Drosophila melanogaster: one gene and its partners. The protein of the gene in region 2 purifies or fractionates together with the protein of the main gene of each other region. This does not show direct contact. Each region holds a gene or a part of one and is shown on either strand. Other genes may lie near its edges.

What was found.
Region 1: the proteins of CG13001 (region 2) and CG17260 purify together in Drosophila melanogaster (affinity purification with mass spectrometry, with the first as the bait; one large-scale study listed by BioGRID). This does not show direct contact.
Region 3: the proteins of CG13001 (region 2) and Hibch purify together in Drosophila melanogaster (affinity purification with mass spectrometry, with the first as the bait; one large-scale study listed by BioGRID). This does not show direct contact.

What each region holds. Positions count from the first base shown.
Region 1 is NT_033779.5:3,028,862-3,039,796, reverse strand, and holds CG17260 (uncharacterized protein), read right to left. Parts: upstream 2,568-10,935; 5' UTR 2,526-2,567; exon of another isoform or gene 2,394-2,525; intron 2,387-2,393; exon of another isoform or gene 2,268-2,386; 5' UTR 2,204-2,267; coding exon 1,109-2,203; 3' UTR 1,004-1,108; downstream 1-1,003. Other genes in the region: cnir (cornichon related), read left to right, coding at 77-154, 207-529, 594-666; SerRS (Seryl-tRNA synthetase), read left to right, coding at 2,647-4,152; CG17258 (uncharacterized protein), read left to right, coding at 4,555-4,776, 4,820-6,165, 6,224-6,614, 6,666-6,902, 6,963-7,246, 7,311-7,461; GABPI (beta4GalNAcTB pilot), read right to left, coding at 7,663-7,843, 7,904-8,797, 8,850-9,037; CG17219 (uncharacterized protein), read right to left, coding at 9,402-9,812, 9,865-10,377; Sf3b2 (splicing factor 3b subunit 2), read left to right, coding at 10,710-10,733, 10,791-10,935.
Region 2 is NC_004354.4:16,937,197-16,947,918, reverse strand, and holds CG13001 (uncharacterized protein), read left to right. Parts: upstream 1-5,047; 5' UTR 5,048-5,336; coding exon 5,337-6,344; 3' UTR 6,345-6,833; downstream 6,834-10,722. Other genes in the region: wus (wurst), read left to right, coding at 7,946-9,166.
Region 3 is NT_033777.3:15,348,491-15,359,763, forward strand, and holds Hibch (3-hydroxyisobutyryl-CoA hydrolase), read left to right. Parts: upstream 1-8,738; 5' UTR 8,739-8,827; coding exon 8,828-8,830; intron 8,831-8,899; coding exon 8,900-9,784; intron 9,785-9,990; exon of another isoform or gene 9,991-10,048; coding exon 10,049-10,321; 3' UTR 10,322-10,773; downstream 10,774-11,273. Other genes in the region: CG42726 (uncharacterized protein), read left to right, coding at 12-1,013; CG42727 (uncharacterized protein), read left to right, coding at 1,213-1,848; Trs33 (TRAPP subunit 33), read right to left, coding at 1,904-2,293, 2,362-2,430; Tmtc4 (transmembrane O-mannosyltransferase targeting cadherins 4), read left to right, coding at 2,861-4,978; Atg4b (Autophagy-related 4b), read right to left, coding at 5,780-6,082, 6,143-6,618, 6,786-6,862, 6,930-7,125, 7,184-8,138; Cog2 (component of oligomeric golgi complex 2), read right to left, coding at 10,793-11,075, 11,132-11,273.

The DNA of each region.
Region 1 (10,935 bases), on a different chromosome or scaffold from region 2:
CGAAATGCTGCAAATTTTGTAAATAGCATAGGAAAACATCGTATTTTTAAGTGAAAAGCGAATTTATAGTGCAATAATGTTTCTGCCCGAAACAGCCACCTTCTGTATCACCCTGTTGGTCTATGGAGCAATTCTCCTACTCCTTATTTACTATGTGAGTGTGGTTTTCCATTGAAGAGAAACATTCTGAAGGTACAAATTTTTAGGTCCTCACACTGGCGGATCTGGAGTGCGACTATCTTAATGCCCAGGAGTGCTGCCGACGCCTCAACTTCTGGGTAATACCCAAGTTCGGATCCCACGCCCTGCTCTGCGTGCTTCTGTTACTCGGAGGCCACTGGGTGATGTTTCTCCTTAACCTGCCTATGGTGATTTGGCTTTTCTACGAGCTGCATCGCCAGCGGCGCGATAGTCTGGGTGTCTACGATCCGGTGGACATACACAGTCGGGGATTGCTAAAGGTCCATCTGAGAAATTGTATGATTTATCTGGGCTACTACTTCGTTATGTTCTTCGTGGGGTTGTACTGGTGAGTTAGACGTTGAAAACTGCATGTTCATCTCTACGAAGTTATCTGATTCTTGTCTTTACAGCCTTATTTCGTCACTAATCAAGGGAGATCCCATCAAGCGGTATGAGGACGACGAAATAGTAACGGATTTCTGAAGTTTAGCCAAATAAGCCTGCACCAAAGGGCTTCCAGCAAATTTCTTCATCCTAGACCGAACTACCAAGCCTGGTTATAGTTGCAATCTAAAATTCTGTAACTAAAACTTAGGCGTACATCTAACAAACAAGTTTCCTCGAACACTTTCGCAGAATTTGATAAGAGCATTTGCCTGATTCTCACAACCTAAACCGAAAATTGATTGAAAATTTTCCTTAGACTAGTTAATTTATTATTTTATTTTTAAATCTTTAAAAAAGACTGTAACACCGCAGTGTGCTCAATTGCGTTAACAGGATAGACGAAACACTTGCCCAAACCAACCTAGTCGCACTTCATCTTCACTTTATTTATTTAATCTTTAGCAATATAAGCGTATTCGAATAGAAATCACAAAATACATAACCATACACAGTAAGCTGTTCTTGAGTCGATCATCTGTTATTGCAGAAAGTCGACCACCTCCTCCAGTTCTCTTTGGCGAGCCTGTTTCTGGGCCCAGCGCGCCTCTGCGGTCTTTACGCTGACCACCCACCGATCGTGAGCCAGCTTGATGCCGCACACAGTGTCCTCCGGAGTTTTGGAAACGGTGGCTCCTCCTCCCTGTGACCTGCCCATATAGGTCTGGGCATCGGAACGAGGATGGCGACGCGCGGCGGGACATAATTTGCCACCCTTTGGAAACGGAGGCTCCGATAGGTATTTCTTAAGGCAGCCTTGGTGAAAGAGATGACCACAGTAGACGCGCTCGATGAAGAAGTCGGCATTGTCATCCGTTTCTATGTCCTCTGGGTATTCGGGTAGCACGGTACTATCACATATGGGACAACGCTCGGTGTGAAAGTCCCGGGTGGCTTCCAGGCAGAATTTCAGCGAGCGTTGCAGACTCCTAACAGGCCGAAAATTGGCTAGAGCCTCCTTGCTCATACGGATCGGTGGCTCCACGCACTGCCGGGCTATTTCCTTTGACTGGCCGTTTAGGTAACGCACGAGCACGGCTGGGAGATTGGAATCTTGACCGCGCAGCTCCACACTCTGCATGGGATAGCTGTCCGGAACAACAGCGATTACTCTGTAGGTGTAGCGTCCGCCCTTGGCGACCAGCTCCACGCTTTTGTTCTTCTGCTTCAGCTTCAACTGGCTCTCCGTGCCTCCAGTCTTGATGTCCGCTCTCAGCTGCTTGATCTCCTCCAAGCACACGCACAGCGGATTATCAGTTAAATACTGTTGGGCGAAGGCCAGCACTTGCAATGCCTGTGGCTTCCCGATGAAATCCCTGGCATAGTCGTCGATCAGCCGGGTAAGCTCCGTCAGAAGCATTTCGGAGTACACACGACTCTTCAGCTCCACCAGAATTTGGGTGCTCTGCGGGTAGTTTTCTGGAAATCGAAGGCACATAGTCATCGAGCGATTCGGCCGCTCCGGGTATATGTCAACCCGGATCAGCGAGTTGGAGCAAATAATGATCTTCGTGTGCGGCACCTGCTTCTCACATTTTGCTCGGAACTCCGTGACTTCCTGGTCAATAAAGCTCATTGTTGAAGTCGGAATCTGTTGCGAATTCGCTGCTGTTCTCCTCCTATTGGACTATTTTGAACAGCTGCTAAAAGCAAGTAGTGTTGTGAATTGCTGACATGTATGTTTCAAATGATGACGAATAAAGTGTACGTTTTAAGCGATATTTATATTGTCAGTTATGTTATTCTGGTTATAAAGGGTATTTCTTATGGGAAATAACTAAACAGAAAATATAAAAAAACATTATAAAATTCTTGGGTTAACTTTTCAGAAGCACTTAGAAATTTGATGAGTCACAAGAATGAACTTCGTCATAATCTCAGCCAAAATATGCACTTACCACCATCGCTTTCCAGCACTGCCCAGCTGACGAAAAGCCTAGCCACGTTGTGAAAACGCCGACGAAACGCGAGAGAATCGAAGCTAATACGCGACTGAAACTGAAATAAAGGGTAACTAAAATGGTGCTGGATCTGGATCTGTTTCGCAGCGACAAGGGGGGCAACCCGGACCTCGTGCGCGAAAATCAAAAGAAGCGCTTCAAGGATGTGGCGCTGGTGGAGACTGTGATCGCCAAGGATACGGAGTGGCGTCAGTGCCGCCACCGTGCCGACAACCTGAACAAGGTCAAGAACGTCTGCAGCAAGGTGATCGGCGAGAAGATGAAGAAGAAGGAGCCGGTTGGTGCCATGAGCGAGGACCTGCCCGCAGACGTGACCAAGGACCTCACAGAGATTGTAGCCGAGACACTGCAGCCGTTGACCGTCAACCAGATCAAGCAGCTACGCGTTCTCATCGACGACGCAATGACCGAGAACCAGAAGTCGCTAGAGCTTGCCGAGCAGACGAGGAACACCTCACTGCGGGAGGTGGGCAACCACCTGCACGAGTCCGTGCCTGTGTCTAACGACGAGGACGAGAACCGCGTGGAGCGCACCTTTGGCGACTGCGAAAAGCGCGGCAAGTACTCGCATGTGGACCTCATCGTGATGATCGACGGCATGAACGCGGAGAAAGGAGCCGTGGTGTCCGGCGGACGTGGTTACTTTCTTACCGGAGCCGCAGTCTTTTTGGAGCAGGCTCTTATCCAGCACGCTCTGCACCTGCTGTACGCCCGTGACTACGTTCCCCTGTACACGCCCTTCTTCATGCGAAAGGAGGTAATGCAGGAGGTGGCCCAGCTGTCACAGTTCGACGAGGAGCTCTACAAGGTGGTGGGCAAGGGCAGCGAGAAGGCGGAGGAGGTGGGCATCGATGAGAAGTACCTGATCGCCACCTCAGAGCAGCCTATCGCCGCCTACCATCGCGATGAATGGCTACCGGAGTCTTCGCTGCCCATTAAGTATGCTGGTCTGTCCACCTGCTTCCGACAGGAAGTGGGCTCGCACGGACGCGACACTCGCGGCATTTTCCGCGTCCACCAGTTCGAGAAGGTGGAGCAGTTCGTACTGACCTCCCCACACGACAACAAGTCGTGGGAGATGATGGACGAGATGATCGGGAATGCGGAGCAGTTCTGCCAGTCGCTGGGCATTCCATATCGCGTTGTTAACATCGTTTCCGGTGCCCTCAACCATGCTGCCTCCAAGAAGCTGGATCTCGAGGCCTGGTTCGGCGGCAGCGGCGCTTACAGGGAACTTGTCTCGTGCTCTAACTGCTTGGACTACCAGGCCCGTCGTCTGCTCGTCCGTTTCGGCCAGACTAAGAAGATGAACGCCGCCGTAGACTATGTGCACATGCTGAACGCCACGATGTGCGCAGCCACTCGCGTCATCTGCGCCATCCTGGAGACCCATCAGACAGAGACGGGCATCAAGGTGCCGGAGCCATTGAAGAAGTACATGCCGGCGAAGTTCCAGGATGAGATTCCGTTCGTCAAGCCCGCTCCCATTGATCTGGAGTTGGCCGCCGCCGAGAAGCAGAAAGGCAAAAAGGAGAAAACCAAGAAGGACCCTGCCGCCGGTTAAGCCTAAAGTTCACATAATTTACTACGAAATATACTGCTAAACTAAGCTTGCAAAGTCCACAAAATTTTTGTTACTTATCGACTTATCTAATATTTATGGCATTTATAGAAACTTTATAACGATTAAACTGGATCAAGCTGTGCTTTGAATGCAATCGACAGTCTTTGTTATTAGGGGATAAAGGTTTTTTTTTCAAATGGCGGTATAAAAAATAATATCTGCCCAATAGATTCTATCCTAATAATAATAATGGTTGATAGGGAAAGTCACCCCGGCCGGCAGTTTTCGTTGTCAGGACAATATGTTCAACTTGTTTACGAAATTTTCCCAAGTTCACAAATCATTTTTAAATTGAGTAGACGTAATTTAACTATCACAGTGTGAAAGAATTGTTTTATAAAGATGTCGCATCCTAAGCGACGTGAGAAGCCGAGCAAGGAGACTCGCTGGGACCGCATACGCAAGCGCCACCTGCAGGCGAACCCTTTGGGACTAAAGACGGATGCAGTGCGTCGCCTAATCGAGACGGACTACGTTGGTAGGCGACAGGAGAGGCTTCTGATTGAAGGAGAAGATTCTAAACAGCTGAATCCTGGTCTGATAATGGACATGCGGCATAAAATGGTAAATATAAGGGATTATAATGATTAATAAGAAATTCAAATAGTTTCAGAAGATACCACACAAACTTCCCTTGGCCACCATAGCCCATGACCCAAGCAACTCCCTGGAAGCCACCAAAGCGCACAATCTTGAGGTGGAGAAGCGTTTCATTGATAATCAACTACAGAAGTTTCGCCAGCAGTTGTCCAGGCAGTTCCAGCGGACCAAGTCCCACCGCGTGCCGCCAACCAAGCCGGATTTTAAGCTGAACAATGGACCGTTGGTGAAGAGTCTGGCACAGGCAGCCCAGCACATAGATAACTTCTATAACACTCCCGTCCAGGCTCTGAGTCAGATGGCACAGATGTGCTCCGAGACCAAGTCGGAGGCAACCAAGAGTCTGATCCAGCAACTGAGGGCAGAACCAGAGAAGGAGGCGGAGGCGGACATGGATTGTGAGTGGACGGAGCAGGAAGCGCAGGTGGTAGAGATACCCGCGTTTATAGAGGAGCAAGTGATTTCATTTGATGCCCTTGAGTATCGTAACTTCACCAAGCAAGTCCAGGCGGATGAGAGCAAGGCGAAGCTTCTACGGTGCCGCACTCCAAGTCCTCTCACTTCCACCGAGGAGTTCTTTCGTCCCATGCGGGCGGCTGCCGAGCGCCAAATGCTCCATGTCCGCACCGTGCGCCACGAGGAGGACCTGCTGCAGGAGAACAAGCAGGCGCAGCAACCAGAAGGTGAACCTTCCTCACTAAAAAGAGAATCCTCCACCTGCTCAAACACCAGCGATGGCATAGACTCTGTAATATCCGATTTGGCCGAGGAAGCGCTATATGAACTGCAATTGGAAGCAGCTGAGAAGGAGAATGAAGAGCTTGACAAGGAGTTGCCCGTTCCGCCAAAGCTTGTGCAATTTCAATTGCCCCCAAAGAAGAGTCCAACACTCACAACACATCCAGTTGGAGATTCGGAAGCTGAGCCTGAACAGGAACCGCTGCTCATCCGCCGCATAGAACTGCCGAAAGTAGTCGTCAAACCCAAGGAACCCGAGCTCAAACAGCCGTCCAGCTCTAGTGAAGATGAGTCGGATGTGGAGCCCACACATGAGAAGCAGAAGATCATCGAGCAGCTGTTTCAGGCCAGGGCAAACACCCAGTTGGTAGTGATGCGCAAGTACTTTCTCAAGTGGATACACTTCACAACGATGGAAAAAATTGAGAGAGAGCAAGGGCAGTCGTGTCAGGCGCGAGACACCCGGGTGCAGAAGATCAACGCATTTCTGGACAAGGTGCGACAGGAAAAGAGGCGTCAGCGCACAGAAACTGTGGCCGAGACTAGCAAGACCACACAAAAATCGCTGGAGAAACGCGAGGAGGCCGTCAAAATGGCCAAGCAGTTTAAGAACAAGTAGGTCTCAGCTAGACACAGATGACAAATGTTTCTAATACTGTTTTCTTTCTTCCAGACTCAAAGTGCAGCAGGACATCATTGACTTACAGCGCATCAAGCTGGAGCGCCAAGAGCGACTTATTATGCAGCTTAAGCTGTCTAAGCTCAGTGACGAGGCCAAGGAGGCCCGCGAGGATCTGAAACAGGAACTCAAAACGGTCATCCGGTGCGGGGATCCTAAGGCGAAAGCCAAGGCGAAGTGCTTGCAGCTGATCGGCAACCTGCGCGATGCGGATGACGAGGAGATGGACCGGCTGCAGGGCAAAGCCCTGCTCCAGCCACGGTTTCTGCAGCACATGCAGGAGCGGGCCACAGAGCGGAGCATGCGTCATGAGCAGGCTCGTCAGCGGAGGGCTCAGGCAGAAGCCGAAAGGGAGGCAGCCAAGCTAGCTCTAGAGGAGGCTAAGGTTTGTTACTACATTCATTTAAAGCTTTAATCTACCTGAACTTGTAAACAGCGCCAGGAGGACGAGGAAGCCAAACGGCTCAGAATGGAGGTCCTTAAAGAGAAGCGTCGCCAGGAGAAAATGGCAAAGGTGCTAAAGGAGCGCGAGCGTCAACGTTTTATTGAGAACCAGCGGAAGGCCGTGGAGTTCAGTCGCAAACTTTTAAAACGGACGGGCATGGAAGGCTTCAAACGACTGCTGGAGCGGAAACGTGAGAATCTTGTTAAGAGCGAGGAATTCCGTTGCCGGGTAAGCTTTCATATGGGTGTAGCTTTTCCTCACTAACATCCTTCCATATTCCAATGGCAGTTGATCACAAAGAACTCCTTCAGTTCGTGGCACAGCTATTCGACATACAGACAGCGCGAGAAGATCATCAAGGCGGAGATCTGTTGGCACAACATCCTCAAGCGGCGCGCTCTGTATGCGTGGATTTTGTATGTGCAGAATGAAAAGAGCAAGATGCTAGTGGCGATCGATTGGCATGCACTGCGCTCCATGGAACACTGGTTTGCGCGGTGGCACAAGTATTCCACGCACTGCCGGATGATTGAAGACAGCAAGACTCGGCAGGCCATCTCGCACCATGAGTGGTAGGTCCCTGTAAAATAGAATTCACTGTATTATGTATCATTTTCAATTGAACCAATTTAATAGGCACCTGAAATGGAAGGTCCTGGACTGCTGGCGACGCTTGCCGCAAATCCTGAAGATCGAGAAGGAAACGGAGGAGCGACGCCAGCGGTGGCGCATGAAAATATGGGAGCTCTTGCCTGACTACAAACCGAGAGAGGACAGCTTGTGGTAGCTACTAGATAGAACATTATTACTCTTGTTCGTTGTGCGTTTTGAGTTACTTAATTATATTTATTTTAAATCAATTTTAAATTGCAATAAAGACTTCAAAGCGGTACGACTAAGTACGACTACCGAGAACAGCGTTAAGATTTGAAATACTTTAGTATCTAAGCGACATGCTTGTGCTTTTTGCTTTTTGGTGTGTGAGTAGTCACTTTAAGATGGCTCGCCAGTTGCTCCAGATTCTGTTGCGTCCTGCGGCGTTGGAGGTGCGCTTGTATTCGTGCAAGGTGGATCCCTTCCACCACAAGTAAGCCTGTCTAGCGAGTATAAAGGCTATGTAGGAAGAAATGAGCAGAGCGTAGCAAGCCACCACAAAGGAGATTCCGAGGCTAGAAACAGAGTGTGCATAAGAAACGTTAATTGGAAATAGAAACAAAGTATCTACTCACTCGAAGCCTTCGAACACCTCACTGCAGTCGTCGGGCAAAAGAACTGGATAACCAAGCGGTCGCACCACCATAAACGGATGGCAAATGGAAGTGAGGGTCAAGTTTGCGCCGAGCAGCAGAGCGATCTCCGACAGGGCCAGTCCAACAATGTACCACACGTAGTTCCGCTCGCCAATGCAGCAGTTTAGCCAGTAGCTGTGATGATCGCGCCTCTTCACGCAGGTTCCGCAGACGGGACAGTGGTATGCCCGCCTTGGAGTAACCTTCCGGCAGATCTCGCAGATATTGGGCTGACCGTGCATCAAGCCAGATCGCTCAGCAGTGTCCATATCCCCCACCTCGTCATCATCCAAACTCAGCACACTCTCCATCTGGAGTGTGGTCTGGGCCTCTGCCTGCTCCTCGCCACTCGAAGCCTCGGCGATCCCAGGCAGCTCATCCTTGGGCGTGGTTCCGTATTGAGCAGAAACAAGATTCAAGGGCGACAGTGCCTTGGCGGAATAGAGGCAGTACAAAGCGGCACAGGAGAAGAACATTAACGCGTAGTTCTCCTCCGGAGCCAGCTCCAGCAGAGGAACCTGAAACTCAAATATGATGATCATGTAGAACACCGAGAAGACCAGCCAGCTCAAAAAGAAGTTTGTCCGCGTGGCGGTCCGCTTAGCCAGCTCCATGCCCCAGATGGTGAAGCCCACCAGCGTGAGCATCAGCACTATGGCGGTCTTTGAGTTCAGAGTGGCCAATCCCAGCATGAGGGGGACAATGAAGGCGGGAGCAACGGCTGCGGGCGAGATTCGCTTGGCTCCTCCGCGCCATGGCAAGCGCAGTCTATCCTGGAAGGCGATGAGCATGCCGTCGATGTTCCTTCGATCAATGGCTCGGCAGGTGACAAGTCTGTGGTAAATTTAATTTTAATTGTAGACGGCCTTTCATTTATGTATCCTACCTTGTGCAAACTAAGTCGAAGTCCACGCAGTTACAACAGCATCCTAGGATGTGGGATCGCTCTCGACTGTCCTCAGCCACGTACTCGCAGCAGCAGAGACTCCCGTTCTCCTTACTCTTGGACTCCTCAGCCTCTGATCTCCAGGCTGCAGAAAGAAAATTGGAGGTGCCGGCTGTCATCAAGAACATCGATTTGGACAGGAAATGGCGCGGCGAACGTTTTTTAATGAGTTCCGAGCAGCGTGTACGGAAACAGTTTAGATTAGATTAGTGCACGCCCTACTGGCCGAGTGGAGAAATGTTTCAAAAGTAATTATCAGATCCGGGTGGGTCCATTTTAATTGTTTTATTGGAGTACAACGAATTTGCTTACAATTTCTCCGGAATAACGACAACTACAACAACACAGCTGACGAACGTCCCTCCCTTACAGGGTGCCCCGTGTAAAGTGGGCTGCCAACTTGTTTTATGCTACCGCTATGTTTTGAACTTAGATCTCTTATCATTATTACAAAGTTTAAGAATTGTGTTATAAATAATTCCAAAATATATTTTATTTAAATTTCAATTGCAAGATTCCTCTTTTTAAGTTTTCGTCTGCCTGCCAAACACTCTCACTTTGGAAAACATTTCCCAGCCTAATGTTCTCTGAAAACTGTTCCAGGCCGCCACCAACTCCAAAATAATGAGATTTTGCGGCAACCAAAATGACTCCATCGGATTTTAAGCGACCAGCAAAGGTATCCAAGAGCTTTTGCTGATTTGCAATATTGTATATAGTCTCAGAGGTAAGTATTAGATCGTATTTCGCCACATCCCTTGATAGTTCAGCAAAATGAGACCAATCTCCAGAATATAAGGTTGTACTGTTGTCTAAAAATTTCAGCTTTTCATCTTCAGATAAAGAGTCGTCCAAATTTAGCAGGATATTTGGATATGTTATGTATTCCAGCACATCTTTGTTCTGAAAATATATGATTGCAACCAAACTATTTCAAGACTTATTGTTTGCTTACGTAGTCCTGAAAATCCACCCGTGCGCCGTGTTTCATAGCATATATACCCAGCAATCCGCAGCCACATCCCAAATCTAGGACTCTTTTCTCCTTCCAGAATGAGTCCTCGTACTTTTCGGATAGATATAGTAGAAGATCTTCAGTGCATTCCCATATTTTAGCACCGCCCTCGTAGACACCGGAAATCAGATCTGAATGATTTTCCTCAGACTTCCTGAGATCCAGGTTTACCAAGTGGGATTGCTCCTTTAAATCCTCCAGCAGAAACCCGGCCACAAGATGTTTTATCGTCATCTTTCCCACCTCCATTTCCTTGGCGTTAAGCTCATAGAAATCCATTGCCGAAATTAGGTTATCCAGTGGTTGTACTTTCTCCGAATTGTACCAATCTATATCCTTTGTGATACCCGACTCACGTTCTTCTGAATTTTCCTGCTTGCTAAAAATATCATTTTTAACGGCCTCTGGATCTTCCGAGGATTCCGCCTTCACATCAAAATTAAATTTGAACATGCTTAGAAGGTAGGGTGTTGAACTGTTTTGATTTTAGCAGATACTGCTTGTTAAATATCGTACTGAAATGGACAAATTAGCATTGTTAAACTGGTAATCTATGAAATATTTTAATATTTACCTCCTTAAATCAGCTGTCGGCAAAAACCACGCTTTTCGTACTAAGATCGCCCTGTCCTTTGCGTTGCCAGCTTGATTTAGGGTCTCGCATTTTCATATCGAATATATCGATATGTCTCGGTGGTACAAAAATATCTTGTCGCGCATCACTAGAATTGTGGTTTATAAAAAAATTTCGGCTCGGTTTGGGTTTTTAAAGATTAATTTAATTTATGGCGGACCAGTTGAACAACGAGGTGAGTTTGCTGCGAAACCCAATCGGCAAGACATCTATTGAATGCCAATCCTTCCAGCCCGGCCAACCCACGCCGCTCATGTCCATTCGCTTCGACCAGCAGCAGCACGAAAGTGCGGCGGCCAATGGAAATGAGAACGGCAATGGTAATGCCAATGGCGACGGCGATGCCTCCGAAGATGCTGTTGATGCCGAAAAAACGC
Region 2 (10,722 bases):
CCTCTTCGATCATCATTAGTTTTTCCCCCACTCACAGATGCGCTTTCACTTTCCGCTTTCAAAGTCAGCGCTTTTCAGTCGATTATTTATTCAGTTGGATTGAAACAGAGATTTGAATAAACAATACGCAAACTGCCCGAGTGCAATTATCAGCACATTTTCAACGGCGAGCTTAGAAAGTCTGATAGAAAACTAAAAAACAAAGATAAGTTTGAGTTTGAAATTCAATAAACAAAGTTTGCAGTTCTGTGGAATTTTGTAGACCATATGCCCAAAGGATGTAATATGACCATTAATAAGTTGCTTTTGGGTTTACTGAAAACTAAGCAAAACGCTGTTAGTACTTAAGTAACCACACACATATCTATTACTTGAGGGAATGGGTATGCAATAGTCGAGCCATAGGACGGCACTGTGCTCTCTGGTTTTTGCGTTTATATGATATAGTAGATAAAAGCTTAATACACCCAACTTACTCCCAAGCATCTGGCATTTGAGAGTTGTTTACATCACTGCTCCATTGATGATCTTAATTTCTTGGGCCCTCCCATTGCTACGCTTTCCTTCCATTGCAATTCCCTGAACTTTTCAACTCTCGACAGCGTCTAAAGTGGACCAGACCCCACCAGATCGGATGGGATCGGATTGGATCGTTTGGCATGGGATTGCAGAGAGTGGAACATCTGGGCATGCCGGGAATTGCTGTCGTTGTCGCTTAAGTGGTCGCCCCACTTCAAATGGGAGTTCTCCTCCACTCCAGCAATAGTTCACTTCCCTCGGCCTCGATGATTTTGTTTATAAGCGTTTAAAGTTTAAACGAACCCATTGTTGCGGTTATTGTCGCCGGGCACTTCTCTTTTTTTTTTTTTTTTGCATATTGCGCCGGATAAGTTGGATGAATGAACTTGATGGATGACTCACATTAGAGCGGACCCTATATTATTTCCCGGGAATATCAGCTAGACCTACTACTACGCCGCCTGTCGTGTCTCCCCCTCGATGATTAATCGAATTTCAAATTTTACGCTCTCACACTACGGGGTATAATATATATATACTCGAATCGACTCGTATAGTAAAGCGAGTGCTGACCAAATGAATCAATTGTTTTGCCACACACAATCACGAATACGAATCCACATTCAATTACCCAATTCTGTGACCATGTGGACTATATACGTTTTATCTGCGTTTCATAGACGTAAGGCATTCTGGTTTTAATTTTTATATGAAATTTTGAACTTCTTATTGCACTCATTTCTCATAAGATTTAGGTATTCAGATTAAAACGATCTTGACTCTCTGCATGTAACAAAATATACAAGACATATATTAACTATTTGCTCTTCAATTATTGTCACCATAGATTTGACCGAAATGTGTCACACTTTCGTGTGGTGAGATACTCGTGAATTGTACCCAGTGCATATAGATAGTATAGTATAAAACACTCTCTATATACACGTTCTGTCCAGATATCGTTCGTATTTATAGTGGCTGGGCAAAAAGAGCGATAACAATGACGAGCCACCCAAGAGTGATAATTATATAGAGCTGAGTGCCAGTTTACATTATGAATGACCGGCCATAGATGGTGGTGTGGAAATCCTGGGGATTATATGGTAAAATTGATAGGCAAATCAAAACTCTGGATCCATCAAGGGCAGCAATAAGCAATATCCATATATGATAAATATAAAACTTAAAATCCAGATACTATTTTCTCAAAGGCATTATTTCAGATGAAGAGGTTTGAGTTTTGATAACGATAAATCCATTGAATACTTGGAGTGCCATTTAAGCCAACTTTGATTTATGTGTATATACATATGTATGTATATGTATGTATCATATTTCGCTGCTGTGATCCATTATTTTGCGCAATTATACGATCTAATAGGGCTTACTTCCGTTGCGATAATATTTGCCCAATCCAAAAATATATATATTCAAACACATTATATACATATATCCGTGTGCAATATGAAAACGCTTGGACTTAATTCATATTTATATGTTTGCATGCAAATAAAGTGATGCATTCATGCGCATTTGCAATTGGATAGTCATTTATTTATTCGCATGAATCACTTGCGTTCTCCCCTTGCGTTTTTATGCTTTTCTTCTTTCGTTGCATTGTTATTTTGCTAATTACAGCAGTTTCCATGGACCAAGTGCAATGGCTATATGATAGTGCACTGCGAAAAAAAAAACGTGCATCTAGTTTGCATGTCAACGACTGTGTACTATTCTCAGAGTGTTTGATAATTAAATTGATAAGAGTTTTGATAGTACTTGGGATAATATTGCAATAACTGAAGTTGCAAGTACAGAAACAGATATAGAGAATGATATTTTCCCTGTGTATATATACGTATTCTCTGATTCTGATTCACAGACTGTGTTTGAGCTTTGTTTTTGTTTATGTTTATAAGCGCGATAAGAGCGGCGACAGTAAAAATAAGCTGAGTTAACTGTTCGTCCCTCATTCCGGGATCGTATTCATGGTGCAAAATGTACAAAAACTGAAACTGAACTGGAGGAAATGGGCACAGATAGTTCCACACTCGACTTAACGCTTCCATGGCCCCAATTATATAAGACCAGGGAGTGCGAAGAATCGGAGAGCCAGAGGGGGGCAGTGTTGGGTTAAGCGATCTCGCGACTTGCGACTCGATTTCCAAGTTGTTTGACAGCATTTTTTGTCGTATGTAAGTTGCCATCGATTTGTGATTTGATTTATACACAGAGAAACGAGAAGACAGGTAGAAAAAGAAGAATCCACAAAGCGATCGTTAGAGGGTAAAGGAAATCCCAGACACTTGATTACCTGGACTATCGCGAGGAGAATACTAAGCGTGCAGCTATGCCGTTCATCTGTAACTCTTTTTGCCAACGAAATACGTTTAAATAAGAATCTTTAGGTGTACCTACTGAAGGGTTACAGATTTATGGTCATTTACCATATTGTTTTGACAAACCTTTAGTTCACTTGATGTGTTCCAATTGTAAACAAGAAAAAGCTATTAAAATAAGTAAGAGATGATAGATTACAGCTCTTCCCATTTAATATAAATATAATGCACATAGAGTGAGCAGCTAACATTATCTTTTAGTAATCATAATGTTTACGGATCATAGATACATTAGGCTCTAAAAATCCAAATATTTGTCAACTCACGAGTTTGTTGTATTTCACGTACCCCAACGAACTTATGCATAGTGTACTTTATTTATTACCATAACTAAAAGATCTTGAGAGGCTTTTATTTATTTAGCCCAATTTTCGGACTTATCGCCTGGATTGATCGATTAATTTGGTTATTGATTCTTCTGCGAAAGTCAAAGGGAAAAGCGCATCCAATCGGAGAATGTGTGTCGGCTGTCTTAATATGTTTATAATTGACTTAATTGCCAAACAATTAAGAACAGCAACAAAATGTGTCAAACGATGGAAAGAGAGAGAGAGAGAGGGAAGAGCGGTGGAGAGATGGAGCGAAGAAGCGCAACAGGTGACACCTGTCCCGCTCGCACAGTCTATCGCTAAATGGGAGCGATAAGCAGTTAGAAGCGAAATATATGTGTGTCAAAAATTATCATACATACAAATGTGTACACAGCCATAGTGGTTTTATAAATTTAGGAAAAAATATCATTATATTGCATAAAACGCATAGGTGGCAAAAACACTAAATTAAAATATAATACAAATATATAAACATATACTAACGAAATGTTTTTAAACATTTCAAAGTATAATGATTAAAATTCACAATGTTATCAATATTGCCGTATTTCGCATTATTTATATTTGATTTATTGTAGATATTACTATTATTTGGCACATAGCTGTCACTAAAAATTATCAGCCAACTAACACAGACACACAGCCCGTATGTAAACACGGATTGATTAGAACGCATTGAAGAGAGAAGAGACCATTGAAAATCGAAGCCCGCAGAAAAAGAGATCGCAAAGAAACTGCGGCTTTCAAATAAAAATAATAAAAATCGCTTTTACCTTTCGCTTTTTCCTTGTTAAAAATTTCGTATGCAGTTTCTGCGTGGTCAACTTAACTTCGTTTTATATTCACAACACACACAAACACAACCAGAGCACAACAATAAAAAACGAAAACAAAGAGTGTGAGAGAGAGGGAGAGAGCGGTGGGCGAAAAGCAAAGTCTCTGCTAAATTGCTAAGCTGATTTCCCACACATATCGATATTGCACTGATATTTTACTGCCGCAACTAGTTGACACATTTCCACAAACATTTCGGCCCAGTTTACTAATATTTGTTTATTTATTTATTATTCTTGCGGAATGAATCACTTGCGGAATGTTTCACACACACATACGCGCGCGTACGCATTGTTTGCATCTGTCTCTCTCTCTCGCGCGATCGATGTCTTTTTTTGTTGTTGTCTCCAAAAGGGAACAACAACTATTCGCTAAACAGAAGTTGACAATTCGCGGATGGAAAAGTCATGACCAGAACAAGATTCTTTGTTTTTGTCCCCAATGCCCGCTTTCCGAACCGGATTTTCCGATCCGAACGATCTGCGACCGATCGAAGAATACAAATGCATAATGTAATATAACGGGGCGCGCCTAGTGTGACCGTTGGCGGAAAGACAGCGAATGCCGGCAAAACTAGTTACTAAACTAGTAGCTAGGATACAAGTTATTAATTTTAGTTATATGTAATAATGTAAATTTTAATACTAACGTTCTTTCCATATAACTGAAACATTTTATATCAATAGTTAACTGAATATTATCTCGGCATGAATGCCAGATTTAAGTTTTTTGCCACAGCAACTGGAATTTACCGGATTTTTAAATTTTAAAGCAGCGCCCACGGTAAAATCAGTAAAGCACTTTAACTATAGTGTAATCATTTAAGTAAATTTGTACGTATAAGGAATTGGAATTGGAAGGAATTTGTTTTCTATTTAAAAAACGATATATACCGCACTGCCAGCTATCGATAGCAAATAATCGGCTGGTCGTGATTAAATGTAAAAATTACTTCCACGCTCTGGTAACACTGCATTGTATACCAGAAAAAAATGGTATTAGCATTAGCAGAGAAAAAATCAAATAAATAAAGAAAAAATCAATTAAAAGTGCGCCATTCCAAAGGATTATCCCAAAAGACGCGATCATCCATATCAGATGCTTAAGAATCGGCCGGAAAATCCGACATCGAACTATTAGGCTAGTGAAAAAGTGCAAAATAAACATTCGCCCAGTGGAGGGGGCCATACAGAAAACACTCGAGAGTCTTTCGAAAATACACATATTATACCACACGGATCGTTTTGGATCTACAATGGCCACCAGCGAGATCTCGAGCTCCAATGAGCGGCACTACTACGCCAAACTGGAGGCCATCAAGGACATCAGGGACAAGACGCTGTCGCTGGAGAAGCTCAAAGTGCGGATCATCAAGGAGGTGAAGCTGAGCGACGACGAGGAGAAGTGCCTGGAGGAGTACCGCAAGGAGATGGAGCACCTGCTCGAGGAGAAGATGTCGCACGTGGAAGAGCTGCGCCAGATCCACGCGGACATCAACGACATGGAGAACATCATCAAGCAGACGAAGGAGAACCAGACCCGCTCCTTCGACATGGCCAACCGGGTGTACGAGGAGTACCTGGCCCTGAAGTACCAGATTGATCACATGCGCCGCGACTATCTCGGACTAAGCCCGCTGCGAGATCTGCACGAGGAGGAGGGCAGTCCCATTTCGAAGGATCGCTTCCAGACCAACTTCCTTAAGGTGGCCGCCCAGTCGGCGGCAGCAGCAGCTGCTGCAGCTGCGGCGGCGGCCTCGGTTAATCAGAACTCGTCGTTGGCCCGTCCGCATGCCCGGCATCCTCTGATGCCGGAGGCCACGGTCACCGCGCTGCCTTCTGGCGGCGGACAGGGCGGCGTTGGTGGTGGCGGCGCTGCAGGCGGTGGCGGAGGATCTGTGGGCGGCGGAGGCGGTGGTGGCGGCAATCCTGGACACGCCTTCATGCCACCCGCACCGCCGGGAGCAGGCAGTGCTGCTGCCGCCGCCGCTGCTGCTGCAGTGCGTCTGGGCAAGGGTGACTTCTCAGCACCACCGCCACCGCCGCCGCCCAGCAATCGACTGCAGCAATCGCCTTCGATCGGCATCGGCCACCATCCCTCGTTCCGCTCCGACTTCAATGTGAATCTCCGCCAGCAGCCGCCGCCCATGAAGTCCTGTCTGTCCTGCCACCAGCAGATCCACCGGAACGCGCCCATCTGTCCGCTCTGCAAGGCCAAGTCGCGCTCCCGCAATCCGAAGAAGCCCAAGAAGAAGAACAACTAAGTGGCCACCGCTCCAGACCAGCAACTACACTCATCTTAAGTCCGGAGCTGGTTCCGGAAACTCAGCGCACTAAATCGAATGCGTTTTTTTTTTTTTGCCTCATCTATTTATTATTAATCCCAATGAAAAGTATTACAACGACGCAAGGCGGGTGTGCTCATGATTATCGGAGAAGATTTAAAAGAATGTCAAATACTTGCATTAATATTTTATACATTACTAGTGTATTTGAAAATCGATGAAGAAATTATTCATGACACGCCGGCCGCTAACAAATTCTCATAACAATTTTAGTTGGTAAACTCAATGAATTTGATTTTTATTTTAACTATAATCATAGGCTAAGTATTTTTTAAAAGCTCAAATAACGTGTCAAATTATCGAGAACAAAAATTTTGTTTATACATGTAAGCCATGCTAAATATGCAACTATGTTATATTTAAGCAGCAAAAAAAAAACACAAATATCAATAAAAATATTTCATTTTTAAATGGGTTCTTTTGGTTATAGATTAAATTATTTGGATTATTGGATTTGATTTTATATGTGTGTATTTTAATACAATAACTATAACTGATGTTTATATACTTGCATTATATTTTATACATTTTACATTTGCCATACATCGTTTGTGAACTAAAGAGTATTGTAGATATACAACGTACTAAAATTTAGATCCATGGTATTTTGGCCTGTCCCTGCACTTGGTCACACCTAGCTTAAGCCGAGCAAAAAGTTCGGATTTTTATTCAATTTTTTAATCCAGCCCGCAAAACAACAAATTCGTATTGTTTCAAATTGTTTCAATTGCAATTTTAGTGAAACATAGCAACAACCAGTTCAAATTGAACGCATCAGTGCACTTGGTTTTCTTTTTTTTTTTTGTTTTTGTGGATCAGTTTGTCGTTTTTGTTCTTGTTGTCGCTGCGTGCGTAGAATTTGTGAAAAGAGAAAGTTCTGCGCCGCGTCTTTCTCCGCCTCTCTTTCTCCAATTCTTCGCACAGTCGTGGCCAAGAAGTTGCGCCTGCGCAGCGACAATTTCACAAGAAATCGAGGTCGATCGCAAGTGGGTAAGTATCTTTCACGGAAAGTGGCCCAAAAAGTGATGTTTAAAGACTGGAACTAAAATAATAACAATAAATTAATTATATATCCTCGAAACTCTTTGCTGTATGTAGTCTTCATAAGAGTTTTCTTTATAGGCCACCGTTCTTTATTCGTTGATTTAAAATACGTAAAGCTTATCTTCAATCAGTTAAATGTGCTACATCAAATCGTGTTACTTTACTTAAAATATTCATATATATTTTAATATATTGTTATGTGTTGTATATTAGATATGCTTGTTATGTTATTGCTCAGCGTGCCACTATTTCAACATATATTACGCTAATATATTAAGCTAATTAATTATTTCATAATTGCAATTTTTTGAATAATCGTTAATGTTGTACTACCAATATACATATGTTTATTATGTTATGTTGTTTTTTAAAAGTTGTCCTCTTTCCATAATATTGTTAGTAAAACTACTTCCGAATTATTCCGTTTATCATAACAATTTTGCCCCCTTCCCTTGCAGTAATCCGATTGGAACACCATGGGCACCACGCAGACAGTATCTCCAGTGGCTGGAAAGGATAAGACCAACGATACCTCCAAAGGATCTCCCTCGAAGGCTAAGTCCAATGGCCACGCGCAAGGCAAGACCAAAAGCAAGGAGATGAACGCTCTGCCGCCCCAGAAATCGGTGGTCATTGCCTATCTATGCTGGCTTTTCGGCGGAATCTTCGGCCTGCATCATCTGTACTTGCACCGTGACCGCCACGCCTTCATTTGGTGGTGCACCCTGGGTGGCTACATGGGCATTGGCTGGATGGGCGAGCTCTTCCTGATACCCGAATATGTACGGGATGCCAACGAGGATCCCAAGTTCGTCAAGATGTTCGTGGCCAAGCTGCAGGCGTATCCGAAACCGCCGTACTCCTCGAAGAGATTCGTGGGCCAGGTGATGATCGGCCATCTGTTCGGCCAGGTGTGCTCCATGGCCATTCCGGAGACCCTGGTCGGTGGCTGGGATCTGAGCTTCCTACACTGGACGATTCCGCTGTTTGTTTCGCTGGGCGTTTGGCTGGTGGGCAACATTGGCCGGGAGCAGGGTGTATGGTGGCACTGCCTGGTGGCCGCCTATCTGGCGTATCCGGCCAGGTATTTGATATATGACGAGACCTACTCCCTGCTGCTCACTGGTCTCGTGGCGGCACTGACCTTCGACGGCTTGTCCAAGCAGTGGCGCAGGACTCCGCCGCGCAGGGGAAGCCCCGGTGAAAGGACCTTTAAGCTAACCACCGCCGTGATCATCTACTGCGCCTTCTGGGGCAGCTTCCTGTATTTCAACGGCACCATTTCGGACGAGGACGGCGGCGAGGTGCCCATTCACGAGGCCATCCATAACTTCTTGGCCTCCGCCTGGTGGACAGATCTGAAGCAAGCCCTGCTGGACACCTATAACTATGCGCAGCATCACGGCTGGTACGAGACCTGGAAGGAGGTGTTCGAAAGCATGGATGTGGATGGCGAACGAAATTCGTACAAGGTCTTGGGCGTAAGTGCCACCGCTTCGCAGGCAGAGATCACCGCTGCGTACAGGAAGCTCTCCAAGGAGTACCATCCCGACAAGGTCAAGGACGAGGGCTTGCGGGCCCAGGCCCACCAGCGCTTTATCGAAATCCAGCAGGCGTACAGTGTGCTCAGCAAGATCAAGTCCAACCGGCGGCGCAAGAACAAACAGTACCAGGAGGAGGAGGCCATCGTCCTTTGAGCGGCGCTTTCCTCCATCTAGTCTAAGTATTTATAACGACTAGGAAGTAAGATTCTTTAAATGCGATTACTTACTTAAAGCAATAGTACCTAAATGCTGCTATAGCACATATTGCGAATTCTCTAAATGTTATTCATATTAATTACCTAATGGTGTTTTTAGCTGTATCTGTTTCCACATGTATTTATTACCATAAATCTGCGTTGTTTATTGTCAAGACTGTGTTTAAAAATATTAAAGCACCCCAAAATTCATTCAAAACACCAAATGCTAATCGAAAATTTCCTTATACTGGGTATCTTATTAGTCGGTTAAATCGACTGAACTGTTCGTCGACGCGAGTAGAAAAAATAGAAAATTAGCTGCGCTTACGTTTCGTCCGTTAAGAAAATACCTTTAACTAATTACCGCGTGACCGGCACAACATTACCAAATCACGTTTCCCTTTCTCAGTGAAAGAATTCATTTTAATTAGATTTATATTCATTTATTTATTTTATATATTTTACATAATATAATGAACTACTTACAAGACTAAGCAAAAAAAAAAAAAGAAAAATATTTATTGTAATTTTTTTTCTCACAAATTTGTTATGTGCGTGTATTTTTTCCATTAATATTTAAGTAAAACGTTTAAATAAAACGATAAAAAATGTATATATATCGTTTTGTAGATGTGTTTATGGTATATATCATTAGATTTCACTTTAGTATTAATTGCCATCGCAGCGAGTTTGTTGAAGAAGAAGAAAAAATCAAACTCGAAATCGGAATCGGAAAAACAAAAAATCGTAAAAATAGGGTTTACGAAAAAAAATATATAAACAGGAAACAATAACTCGCTTAATTTTAGTTTAAAACATAATACTGAGCAAAAAATGTGTATATAACATTTTGCCTACTAGATTTTTTGCTTTTTTGTTTAAAGATATTTTTATATATTAATTAATTGCTTTTCGTTTTGTTTGTTTTTCCATTTTTGCACTGATCCATCGAATATATATATTTTTTAAATATATATATTTCAAAAGGACCAGTATCATTAAGCTTTACAAATTTGACTATTTTTATATATTTGTTTTTTTTTTTGTTGTGACTGTTTTTTTGTGTTTCGTGTGGGCGTGTGTAGATTATCACGTTTTCTTTTTTCTTTTTCAAAAAACAAAAACTCAATTACAAAAAAAGAGGGGTTTTACAATTTTCGTATAGGGATAGGCTATATTTAAAATACGTTTTAAAATAAAATAACAATTTGTTAGGCATCGTACACACACACACTGCTGCAGTGTGTGCGTCTTGTATATAGGTATATAGGTGTGTGTGTTTTTTTTTTGTTTGTTTGTATGATTGTGTGATACCAAGTTTTTAAGAACGCCCCATTTTTCAAATATAAATGTATCGATTGTAAACTGCTCTTGAATTTCGAAATGCATATTTCAGAAACTATTTGTTTGACTTGCATTCAGCAAATAAAAAACACTTGCGAATTTAAGTCGATCGATTATATCGATTTTTTCGATAGGTCTCGATTGATTTATATTTGAAAACAGGAAGTC
Region 3 (11,273 bases), on a different chromosome or scaffold from region 2:
TTTCCTTCCAGAGATTTGCTACCAGTTCACATTTAAAGTACCATCTAATGAGCCATGAGAAACAATCAAAACACTCGTGCAGCGTCTGCCACAAAAGTTTCAAGCAACCAATTGTTCTACAGCGCCACATGCTTACCCACAACCAGGAGAAGCATTTGTGCCCAATCTGCCAGAAGGTTTTCCGCCGCAAGAGCTCTCTTGCCAGCCACCTGGCGATCCACAGCGATCTCGGCCTGCAATTTAAATGCGAGCTCTGCTCTAAGCATTTCCAGAACAAGGCCAATTTGAACCAGCATCTGCGGAAACACGACAAGAACAATATTCGGCACATGTGTAAAGTGTGCCAGAAGTCCTTTCTGCGACAAACCACGCTTCGGCTGCACATGAAGCGCCACTCAAATCGCGAACGTCAGTCCTGTTCCCTGTGCGGCAAAAGCTACAATGATCCGGATGCTCTGGGCCGACATTTAAGACAACACAAGACTGCCGAACGCTACCGCTGTATCCAATGTGACATCACTATCAACCGAAAGGACAACATGCTGCGACATCTGCGATCCATGCACCCTGGTTGTGCGTTTGCCAGTACTGTTGAAATGGTTACACCGAGGTCCAGTGCTCAGGAGGCCACGACGGCGGAAGAAAGACCATCTCAGACTGTAAGATACAACAGTGTGATCCAGAGTGTGGGCAACGTTGAGCCAGTGATGTTGCTGCAATCTACGCCACTGCCATCTCAACTCCCTGAACTGCAGATGGAGAAAGGGAAAGCTGTCCCAGAGCATCTGCCTCTGCCAGATGTAATGCCAGAGGAGAATGTCCAGCTGTATCGCAAGATCATCTTGGATCTGGACAACGAGGAATACTCTAGCGAACCTAGCCCCGATGCCCAAGAACCAGCCATGCAACATCACCAGCCGCGTGTCCCGGGGCAAGGTAGCTCCAAATTTAGCGAGATGCACTGGCGCAAGAATTTCAAATATTGGTACCAAAAAGAAGAAAACACAAAGTGACGATATGATCTCTAATGAGTTGGCCCTTTTTCAAAGGGGTCCTCTAATTTATTAGAGATCAGTCAGGTGCTGCGAACCGAAGCGAACCGCAGCAATCTTGTTGGCCGCTAGCCATATTTCCGCGTGCCGGCGTCACTGCCAAGTTCACCGGCCATCGGAAGCAGCAAGACCGCTTAATTTGCAACTAACAGTATTCAATATGATGGACGAGCAATCGGAACTCGAGACACTGCGTGAAATTTATTACCTAACTGATGATGCGTCGTGCAACTGGCGCAAGTTGCTTGTCCTGGGCGACTGCCTGGACCAACAGCTCAAGCGCAAGCTGCTCTGGATGTGGCCGACATCGGTGGACTTGGACTACTTTAATCAGCTGCTAGCCATGCACGACATCCAGCGAGTTTTGAGCATCGGCTGCGGCAGTGGGCTTTTGGAATGGCTTATGACAGTGTCTGGAGGTCGGAAAGTCCCCATGTTTGGCTTGGAGGTCGATCGCAACTGGTGGCAGAGCAAGTACTCCGTTCGAAGTTTTATACCGCTTAACTATTTAGAGGATGCCAGCCAACTGGATACGGATTTATTGACCAAATGCTGCAGTGACGTTCATCCGTGTGCCTTGCTCTTCTGCTACTTCAACAATCGAGGAGCTTTTCTGGACTATCTAAATGTGTATCAAGGAAAGTGGCTTATATTGATTGGACCATTGCCCGCCCTGGGAATCCACACAGATCCCAATCCCGCCCAGCCCCAACTGCCCATCGACCAGTGGATCCTGCGAGAACGCCTTAACTGGACTGACCACAACATTGTGGCATTCTACGAAAAGATAGCCTAGTCTAGTCTGTAGTATCTCTATAATTGTAGTAATAAACCATTGCCTTACATCCTAATTAGTTCCTGTTCACTTCTATGTGAAACTTGCAGGCGGGTATGCTTTGCACTTCGGCCGTCACGGTGCTGTTAATGCCTAGATTGCTGAGAGCTCCTCGCACCAGCCCGCACGTGAAGGCCACGAACTTGGGCGCGTGCTCCAGCTGCTTGGTGCCCGGCGAGATGCGAGTCAGAAAGCGGAAAGCCTTGTCCTGCACAACGTACATTCCGTGGTTGTTCGTCCTCAGGTTGTCCACTTGCTTCTTGTATATAAGCATCCAGAAGTCGGTGCATATAAACTTCATAGTCTCCAACTCGTCCTTAAAACGCGAAACTTCACGGGTGAGCCGCTCAATCAGGCGGTAGCCGGTGGTGAAGCCTATATACTCCAAAGTGGCCAGGTCGTGCTCCTAATAGGCGGAACCAAATCAAAATCGGTTGTATGACTGATTTTTTTTTGCGTCCCTCGTGTTCCTACCTTATTGCTATCCAGACAATAATTGACTATCTCTGCATGGAGGCAATCGAAAAGGATTTCTTCAGACATTTTCGAGGATTTAATTTTTCTTTGTGAGTTCAACAAATTTTTCCTCGGATTTGTTTTGATCTAGATTTAAACAGCTGTTGCAAGCGTTAACGGGCGAATGTCTTGTTTGCTTTTAGTGGTTTATTGTTATTACTATTATTTATACTTTAATATCAAGAGTATGTATAATTATTTTAATATGAATACTCTAAAATGAGCAGATTTGATAGATCTATTTAGCGTAATTTCAAATCATTTTATAACCATATATTTTTCGATGCATATATTTAGCTAAGCTGCACACATTTCTATCGCTGATCTGGCATCACTATTCAGTGAGGGGGTGTTTGGACAAAAACACAACAAAAAATGTATACAAAACAATTCCGATTAAAATTCGCAGAATAAGTGAATTAAACTTGAACAATTGACAATTAGTAAATAATCCAGTATGCTAGACCTCGTTCACAAAGCCACGCTGCATAGCATGGTCTGTCAGGCAATCCTAGTGTTAATCTGTTTGCTATGCTACGGATGCGGTGGCCTCAGTGGAGCGAAGTTTGTCTTCGATGATACGGTGGCCATCGTCAAGAACCGGGATGTCAACTCACTGCCCACCAACTGGACGGCGATCTTCACGCACGACTTCTGGGGTGCTTCCTTGCTCAGTTCCGATTCCCACAAATCATTTCGGCCACTGACCACCCTGATGTTCCATTGCGAGTATGCCCTTCTGGGGCTAAGTGCCGCCCACATGAAGTTCCTAAACCTCCTGCTACACTGCGTCAACACGCTGCTCATGTGGCGATTGATTCGCTCTCTCTATGTTCCGGAGGTCAGCACGGCAAGATGGGCCATCCTCTCCGCTGCTCTATTTGCCGCCCATCCAATTCACACAGAGGCGGTTTCTGGTGTGGTTGGAAGGGCCGAGCTCATGTTCGGCATGATTCACTTGTTGTGTCTTCTGCTGACCGTGGCCAATACCGGAAGACTTGGTCCACAGACTGGCGGTCTAATCATGCTGCTCACCGCTGTGGGAATGCTGTTCAAGGAGTCCGCTGTGACCATCCCCATGTCGTGTGTACTATTGGATTACTTTCAAAACGGCTACTATCATCTGCGATTCAAGGATCAGTGGAGTCTTTTGCGCACCCGGATCAGCTACTTGTTCTACTTGCTGGGTACCTTGGGTCTGCTGACGGCTCGCCTTTGGTGGCAGGACTTTGAGACGCCTACCTTCAAGGAAGTTGACAACCCCGTTGCGCACAATGAGCACGTGCTGACCCGTGGGCTCTCCCAGCAGTATCTGCTGGTCATGAACATCTGGCTGATGCTGTGCCCCCACTGGCTATGCTACGACTGGGCATTGGGTTGCGTCAAGTTGGTGACCAACATCTGGGATCTGAGACTGCAGGGCGTCATCGGATTCTACTCCATCGTATTGGTGGCTCTGATGAACTTCCGACGGCTGCCCGGAATGATGTTAGCTCTGGGTTTAATGATCGTCCCGTTCCTGCCCGCGTCGGGAATCATTTGCGTAGGATTCGTGATTGCCGAACGGACGCTCTATGTACCCTCCATTGGCTTTTGCCTGCTGTCCATCTATGGATTCTTATATTGGTATGACAGCAGTACGGAAAACACCCACTGGCGCACTGCTCTACGGATTCTTTTAATGCTGCTCTTTTCGGTTATGATGGTACGGACTCGGCAGCGAGCTACTGACTGGCTTAACGAGGAGCAGTTGTTCAAGTCCGCGCTACAGGTGTGTCCTGACAATGCCAAGGTACACTATAACATAGCCCGACTGGCCACTGATATGGGAAACAATACGAAAGCCTTTCAGCACTACCACAGGGCCATTGAATTGTATCCGAACTATGAGTCAGCTCTTATGAACCTCGGCAACCTGTATCGGGAGCACGGTCAACTATCCACCGCCGAGGAATACATTCGATTGGCTTTGCAGGCGTATCCCGCATTTCCAGCGGCTTGGATGAATCTCGGCATTGTGCAGTCGGCTCAGGGAAAGTACGACAAGGCTCTGGCCAGCTATGAGAAGGCCCTGAAGTACAGAGCCAATTTCGCCGTCTGCTACTACAACATGGGCAATCTGTATCTGGAGCAGAAACGTTACGCCGAAGCGCTTCATCATTGGCAGCATGCTGTGGCACTAAATCCCCGCCAGCCAAAAGCCTGGGCTAACATTCTGACAATGCTGGACAACAAGGGGTTGCAGGATGACGCCTTGCGCATCTCTAATCAGGCTCTCCAACATCTACCCAACGATGTCAGTATCCTTTTCATTCGAGCAAACGTGCTTGGCAAATTAAAACATTATACGGAGGCGGAGGCGATCTACAAGCGCGTTATTGAGCTGGAGCCCCACAACACATTGTACCACACGAATCTCGGAGTTCTCTATCATCGCTGGGACAAGACGCAGGAGGCTATAGAGGCTTATCGGACTGCAATAAGTATTAGTGCGGCTAGAGCAACGACAGCCCGGGAGAATCTCAGCAAGCTCTTAAAACGCCTGGAAAGGGAGGCGCAAGTCATGCAGAGATAAGCGTTTCAAGTCCCACCATCCAAATATGGATCCAACCAAAATCTTGGTTGTTTGCAAATAATAAGAGGTATGTACACTTCGCAAGCTGTAATAATCCCAAACGAAAGACGAGGTTGTGGGTTAAATTACTTATTCATAAAAGACATTAAAACTAGTTAGTCTAATTTAATTTTAATTCCGTGCAATATTGTATCTATATCATACATTCATATCCCATCAGCTAAAATCTCATGACACCCTAATTGTATTTAGTATAAGTTAGGATAGTTTATTCATTTACTCGAGGGTATATACAATTAATGTTAAAACTAAATAATGATCGAACAATTACAAGACGACTTACATAATTTAACTAAACTCTAGAACTAAGCGCTACATGAAATACTTCAAAGAATAGTGACAATTGTGGCACCATTGTAAAATAATTCAATTCCATTAAAGATTCATGATTTTAAAATAATAATACCGCAAATTACATAGGTTTATATATAACACATATAAACAGATCGGGCTGCTCGAACATGGAAATAGCTGAAAAACTTTGGCAGAATGCGAGACGACAGGTCGAACAAAAGAGAGATTAACGTGGACATCAGTAAATATTCAAGATACATGCATGCGTCTATGTACTATATGCGTAGGCGTAAAGGTACAACAAAGTCTTTGTGTTTGAGATACGGGTCTGTTGGGTTTTTCTGGGCGAGCAAGCAAGCAGCAGCGGCTGGCAACTAAATCAAATAATAATGAGCAAATAACACAGCTAGCACAGCAACAGGGTTATGTGGTGGTGGCGGCAACGATCTACAGCAGCACAAACTCTTCGCTTTCACTATCATCTTGGTCGTGCTCATCGCCGTGCTGTGGCGGCGCCAGTTGAGCGCCCAATTCCTGGGCCAGAGAAGCCACCTGTTTTATGAGCGGCTTGTACAGCGAATCGCTCATTTCGTCCCGCTCGTGATCCATGCAACGACCGCGGGAAAATGAGAACAATGGATAGTTCATCTCTGTTTGCTCGGTTTGATGGGATGACTGAGGCGTCGTATGATGGCTCCCGGCCGCCTTATCCACAGTTGCCCCTGAGGCGCAACGCATAGGATGCAAATACTGTTGAAATTAAGATATTTAATAGGACGTTGGAAAACGAAATGTTTGGCTTTTGCTTACCAACTGTACGCTCTCCATAAAATTGTCGAAATCACTTTTGGTGGCACAGTAAAAGCCGATACAACAACTAGGATCCATTTTGCTGGCCTTAAGCTTCCGCGGCGACTTGCAGTGAAACGAGTGCAGGGAGAAGTTCTCTTGGTTCACATCCACCATCTCCTGGCAATAGTGCGGATCCAAGTGGATGAGCCTGTCCTCCTGGAAGCCGACAAAGTACAGCGAATGCTTTGGCTTTCCACCAAGGATGCCCAGGCAGTGTTCTGTACTCAGCAGCAGCTTCAGACAATGGGCATACACAGGATTCAGTTTATCACTGCCCAGGCGCAAAGGTATCAGAACGATGAGGGACTTCCAGTGCTGTTGTTGCTCCGTTTTGGTAGTTTCCGCCTGCGGCCGCTTCGCTTGTTGCCAAGGCACATGGGGTTTTGGCGCCGGTTCCGGAATGCTGCATTGATCCTCAATATCTTGCAAGTAAACTAAAACAACACAAAGACGGTTATCAAATCACATACGTTATCAATTGAGCCCCTGAGTAATGAGCTTCGCGAACAAGGTTGCAGCAATTACTCATGAACATATCAATGTGTCATGGTAGTTATCTTATGAATCTTTGATTAAGGGATTCCTTTCTGCTTGAACTTACTCGTGCAATCTTTGGCTACATAGACACTAATATTGTCAAAGTCTGCATTTTCCTGAGCCGCGTGCTCTAAGGCGTGTCTGTGGTGAAGTTGAAGAGTTGTTTGATTTAATAAAGATTAAAAAAGCGATAAAGATCTGTACTCACTTAAGCAAATAGGAAACAGAGGCGGGACCGTACCAATCGCCAGGTTTTTTACCCAAATGCTCCCCCAGCCGCACCAGGGCGTGGATGGAGAAGGGACTGCTTTTTGAGGAACTGTCCCCGAACCACTTGACGATCTTCTTATGCATATTGTCCTCGTAAGTCGAGTGCAACTGGGACTCTGAATCATAGCGCCAGCCTGAAGCATAAAGGTTTATTGGTAATCAAACATATTTGTGCGGGTTCATTTAACTTACTTCGCCCTAGGAAGTGACAGATGAGTCCTTGAGCGAAGAGCATCTGACCACTCCTTAGCATACAGCCCCAACCGCAGTCCGAGGTGTAGTTGGAGCCATTCATTATTGGGAACTCTCGACGGTAGGTCATCCAAATCCTACTGTAAAAGTCACGACGAAAGCCTTCGATGCCCTCCTCCCAAGGCTGTTCGCCCACTTGGTTCTCCACCGCGTCCATTCCCAGTTCCTGGGGCACCACAATCTCATCGATCTGCTGCGGATTAAGGGCTGGATACAAGGAGGTTGATGTCGATGTGGCCTGAATGCTGTCGAACGCCGATGTGGCGTTATCGGGGGTGGTATCCGCCCCGCTGGGCAGCTCGGTGATGGAACTTTCCATGCTTACGGGCGGAGTAAAGCGTCGATGATAGCACCGTCCTAGCAGCCACACGGGCTGCTCCTTTGAGAAGCTGGTCTGCCTCATCTTGCCGCTCCAGCCATACTTCACATTGTGCCACATTGCGACGAGCTTGGACTCCATGCCCTTGGTGGGAGTACGGTTTGCCGACAGGTCACCGGGTTCCTCGTTGTGCTGCTCCACGTGACCGCAGCTCGGACCGCTGTTGCCGCCGCCGTAGAGCTGACTGAAGGCGTTCATGAAACGTGATGACGTCGATATTTTGCGCTGCGGAGTCGCTGTCGCAGCGTTTTCCGTCTTGAGGTTCAGATTGGCACCTGATGTGCTTACGGGGGAGGGGGAAGGGACGCGTGGAACGGCGAATACAGTGCGATGAATCGTCTGTATGGGGGCCGCCTGCTCCTCCTCGATGGCGCCGTCCTCCACCAGCGGCAAGGAGAGCGGATCCGCATCCTGGCCGCATATCCGGCTACCCTCTACAATGGTCCCCTCGCCGGCGGCTTCGAAGAGCATCAGTTTTTCGTCGGTCAACTTGGAAAGGAGGCCGTCATAGTTCATCTGGTTGGTGGCCGTGGACGAGGACATGAAAACAGAGGCGGAAGTGGTAGAAGAGCTATGACGCTTTGTCCGCAGCTTGCGGAACTTAAAGAACTGCGGCATTGTAATCTTGGTGCGAGCCCCTTGCTGGCCCTGGCTTAACTGACAACCGACCACCGATTGCGTGCTAATTACAAATGTTTACTCACCGTTTATTTGTTGACAAAATAAGATAAAGTAACTCCACGAAATTTGTTTTTCTTATTCGCGAGAAGTACAATTGCCAATTTCAGTGTTGCCAGACTGCAAATCTGCTCTATTATGAATATGTAGGTAATGTGTGTTCTTTTTTACGTTTATCTACTAATGAGTTCAAAATGAATAGTGAATTTTGTTATCAACAGGTTTGTGTTAAACTATTTTTAAACAATTTGTATCTTTATCTAAAATTCTTATACATATAATATTTGAATTAATAAATTAAAAGGCGCCTGGTATAGGTCTGCCCTTGGCATGTCCATTTAATAGTAATATTTTACGCGGAAAACGATTTCTGGAACACCCTTATTTACTTCCGGCATGTGTGCGGTCTGGCAGCTCCGCGACAAGAATGACCAGCTGTGCGGGTGCTAAAATTCTATTGCGCAACGCTGAATTTCTAAACACTCGCTTCGCCCCACACACAACATTACTGACGACAGCCGCTCAAAATGGTAAGTAATGCAAATTCCTGCAAATAGAAGCGCTTAGCTAATCGAAAACAATTCGATGTCGCCGTCCAGCAGGGCCCAATTCAAAGGTTGGTGTACACATTTGGTCATCGCACCTGTAGCCAATTGCCGATGATCGGCGGAGCAACGATATCCCAAACAAAACCAACAACAATGGCTCTCTCCGTTCGCCAATCCTCCTCCTCCGTGCTGGCCACGGAGTCCTCTAACAAGGGAATGATTATTCTGAACCGGCCCAAGGCGCTTAACGCCATCAACTTGGAGATGGTACGCAAGATCTACAAGCACCTGAAGAAGTGCGAGAAGTCCAAGTCGCTGGTGATCATCAAGGGCACAGGTGACAAGGCCTTCTGCGCCGGTGGAGATGTGCGCGCTCTGGTCGAGGCTGGCCCTACGGATGAGTCGAAGAGCTTCTTCCGGGAGGAGTACAGCACGAATGCCCTGATCGGAAACTATAAGATTCCCTACATCGCCATCATTGACGGTATTACCATGGGCGGTGGCGTGGGTCTGAGTGTGCATGGCAAGTACCGGGTGGCCAGCGATCGGACACTGTTCGCCATGCCCGAGACGGCGATTGGCCTCTTCCCGGATGTGGGTGGATCATACTTCCTGCCTCGACTGCAGGGAAAGCTGGGCCTCTATCTGGGTCTCACAGGATATCGACTGCGCGGAGCCGATGTCTATTACTCAGGCATTGCTACGCACTACTGCGAGAGCAGCAAGATCCCTGATCTGGAGACGGCTCTCCTTAACTGCCCGGATGCGGATGATGTGCCTGAGCTGCTGCAGAAGTACCATTCCCCGCCAGAAAAGCCCTTCTCGCTGCAGCCTGTCCTGGAGCAGATCAACAAGAACTTTTCAGCGGACTCGGTGGAGGGGATTCTAGAGAATCTGCAGAACGATGGCAGTGAATGGGCCAAGAAGACGCTTGAGGTGAGTGGGGCACAGTTTACTAAGTGATAAGAACACAATCGGATGTTAATTGGCTGGGCCAATCATCGCTTGACGCGCGCTTTTAGCGCCTAAATATTTGATCCGTTTCCAGCCAATTAGCAACGCTTTAGTTGCTGCACGACTTTTCTTAACTGAATAAGTTACACTAGCTCACAAACTCACACCCCACACCTTGTTGCATTTTTCTATTAGAGTTGAATTTTATTATTGAAATCAGACACATTGCTTTTTTCTTTGTTTTAGACGCTCTCGAAGATGTCTCCCACCTCGATGAAGGTTACGTTCCGTCAGTTGGAGCTCGGATCACAGCTGTCGCTGGCTCAGTGTCTTATTATGGAATATCGTCTGGCCGTGCGTCATCTGGAGCGAAGTGATTTCAAGGAGGGAGTGCGCGCCCTACTCATCGACAAGGATCAGAAGCCCCAGTGGCAGCCAACCAAGCTGGCCGATGTCACTGAGGAACATGTGCAGTGGTTTTTCCGCAAGCTACCGGACACCGAGGAACTCAAGCTGTAATGTAGCAAGCTTAGTTTTGTTTTTGTTTGAGCCTTGGCATCCAATCCTGTTTGTCTTCCGTTGAGCCGCTCATTCTTATATGCACACAACTTAATATCTTTGTATATATCATTGCAAGCTTGAGTTATGTTATGCATGGTTCCTTGCCTGCCGTTTTGCAATATTCTTTATATATCTTTAGCGTTCTGTGGCCACAGTTTGATGAGTTCTGTCGGCTAATTTTCCGCAATCTCTTCTCTGTTTCATTCCAACAGCGAATAACTTCGAGGAAGAATCCTATTCGCCGGTATTTACCAATAACGATTGTGAAATTCAATGCATTTAAATATATGATATACATATATGCCTATATATATTATGTACAATTCGTAGTCCTAATACAATCAATAATTGTGCCTAAAGAATCGTTAGAATTCGTTTACCAAGAATAAAAAGAAGTGTATACGTTTAATAACTGATCGTTGTTGGTGACTAAGCGCTGTTATCCTTTAGCTTGATACTGTCCTCCACCATGTTTGTCAGCTCGACTAGCTTATCGATCTGGGTGGCCTGAAAGTTTAGTTTGCACAGCTCCTGCCTCCAGGATGTGACATCCACTCGCAGTTGGACGCGAATCTTATCATCGTCAGACATTACAGCCGAGCTTCCAGTCGAAACAGTCGCGGCTCCGCCACTTTTTACATTTCGCAAGCGTCGCAATGACTCCTCGGTTTTCTGTACGGATGTGAGCACATCGCTCACCACATTGAAGTACCTATAGTGCGAATAAAAGTTCAGAGAAATTCGAACCCATCGTAAAATTATACTCACGCCTTGGTTATGTGACTAGCAACTTCCGCCAAGATTTGTTCCACCACCAGGGTGCCAAGCTGGGACTCGTTCTGCTGGGCAAATGCCTTCAGCGGTCGCAGCATTTGCTCCACATAGCTCGAACATCGTGTGGGAACCTCTC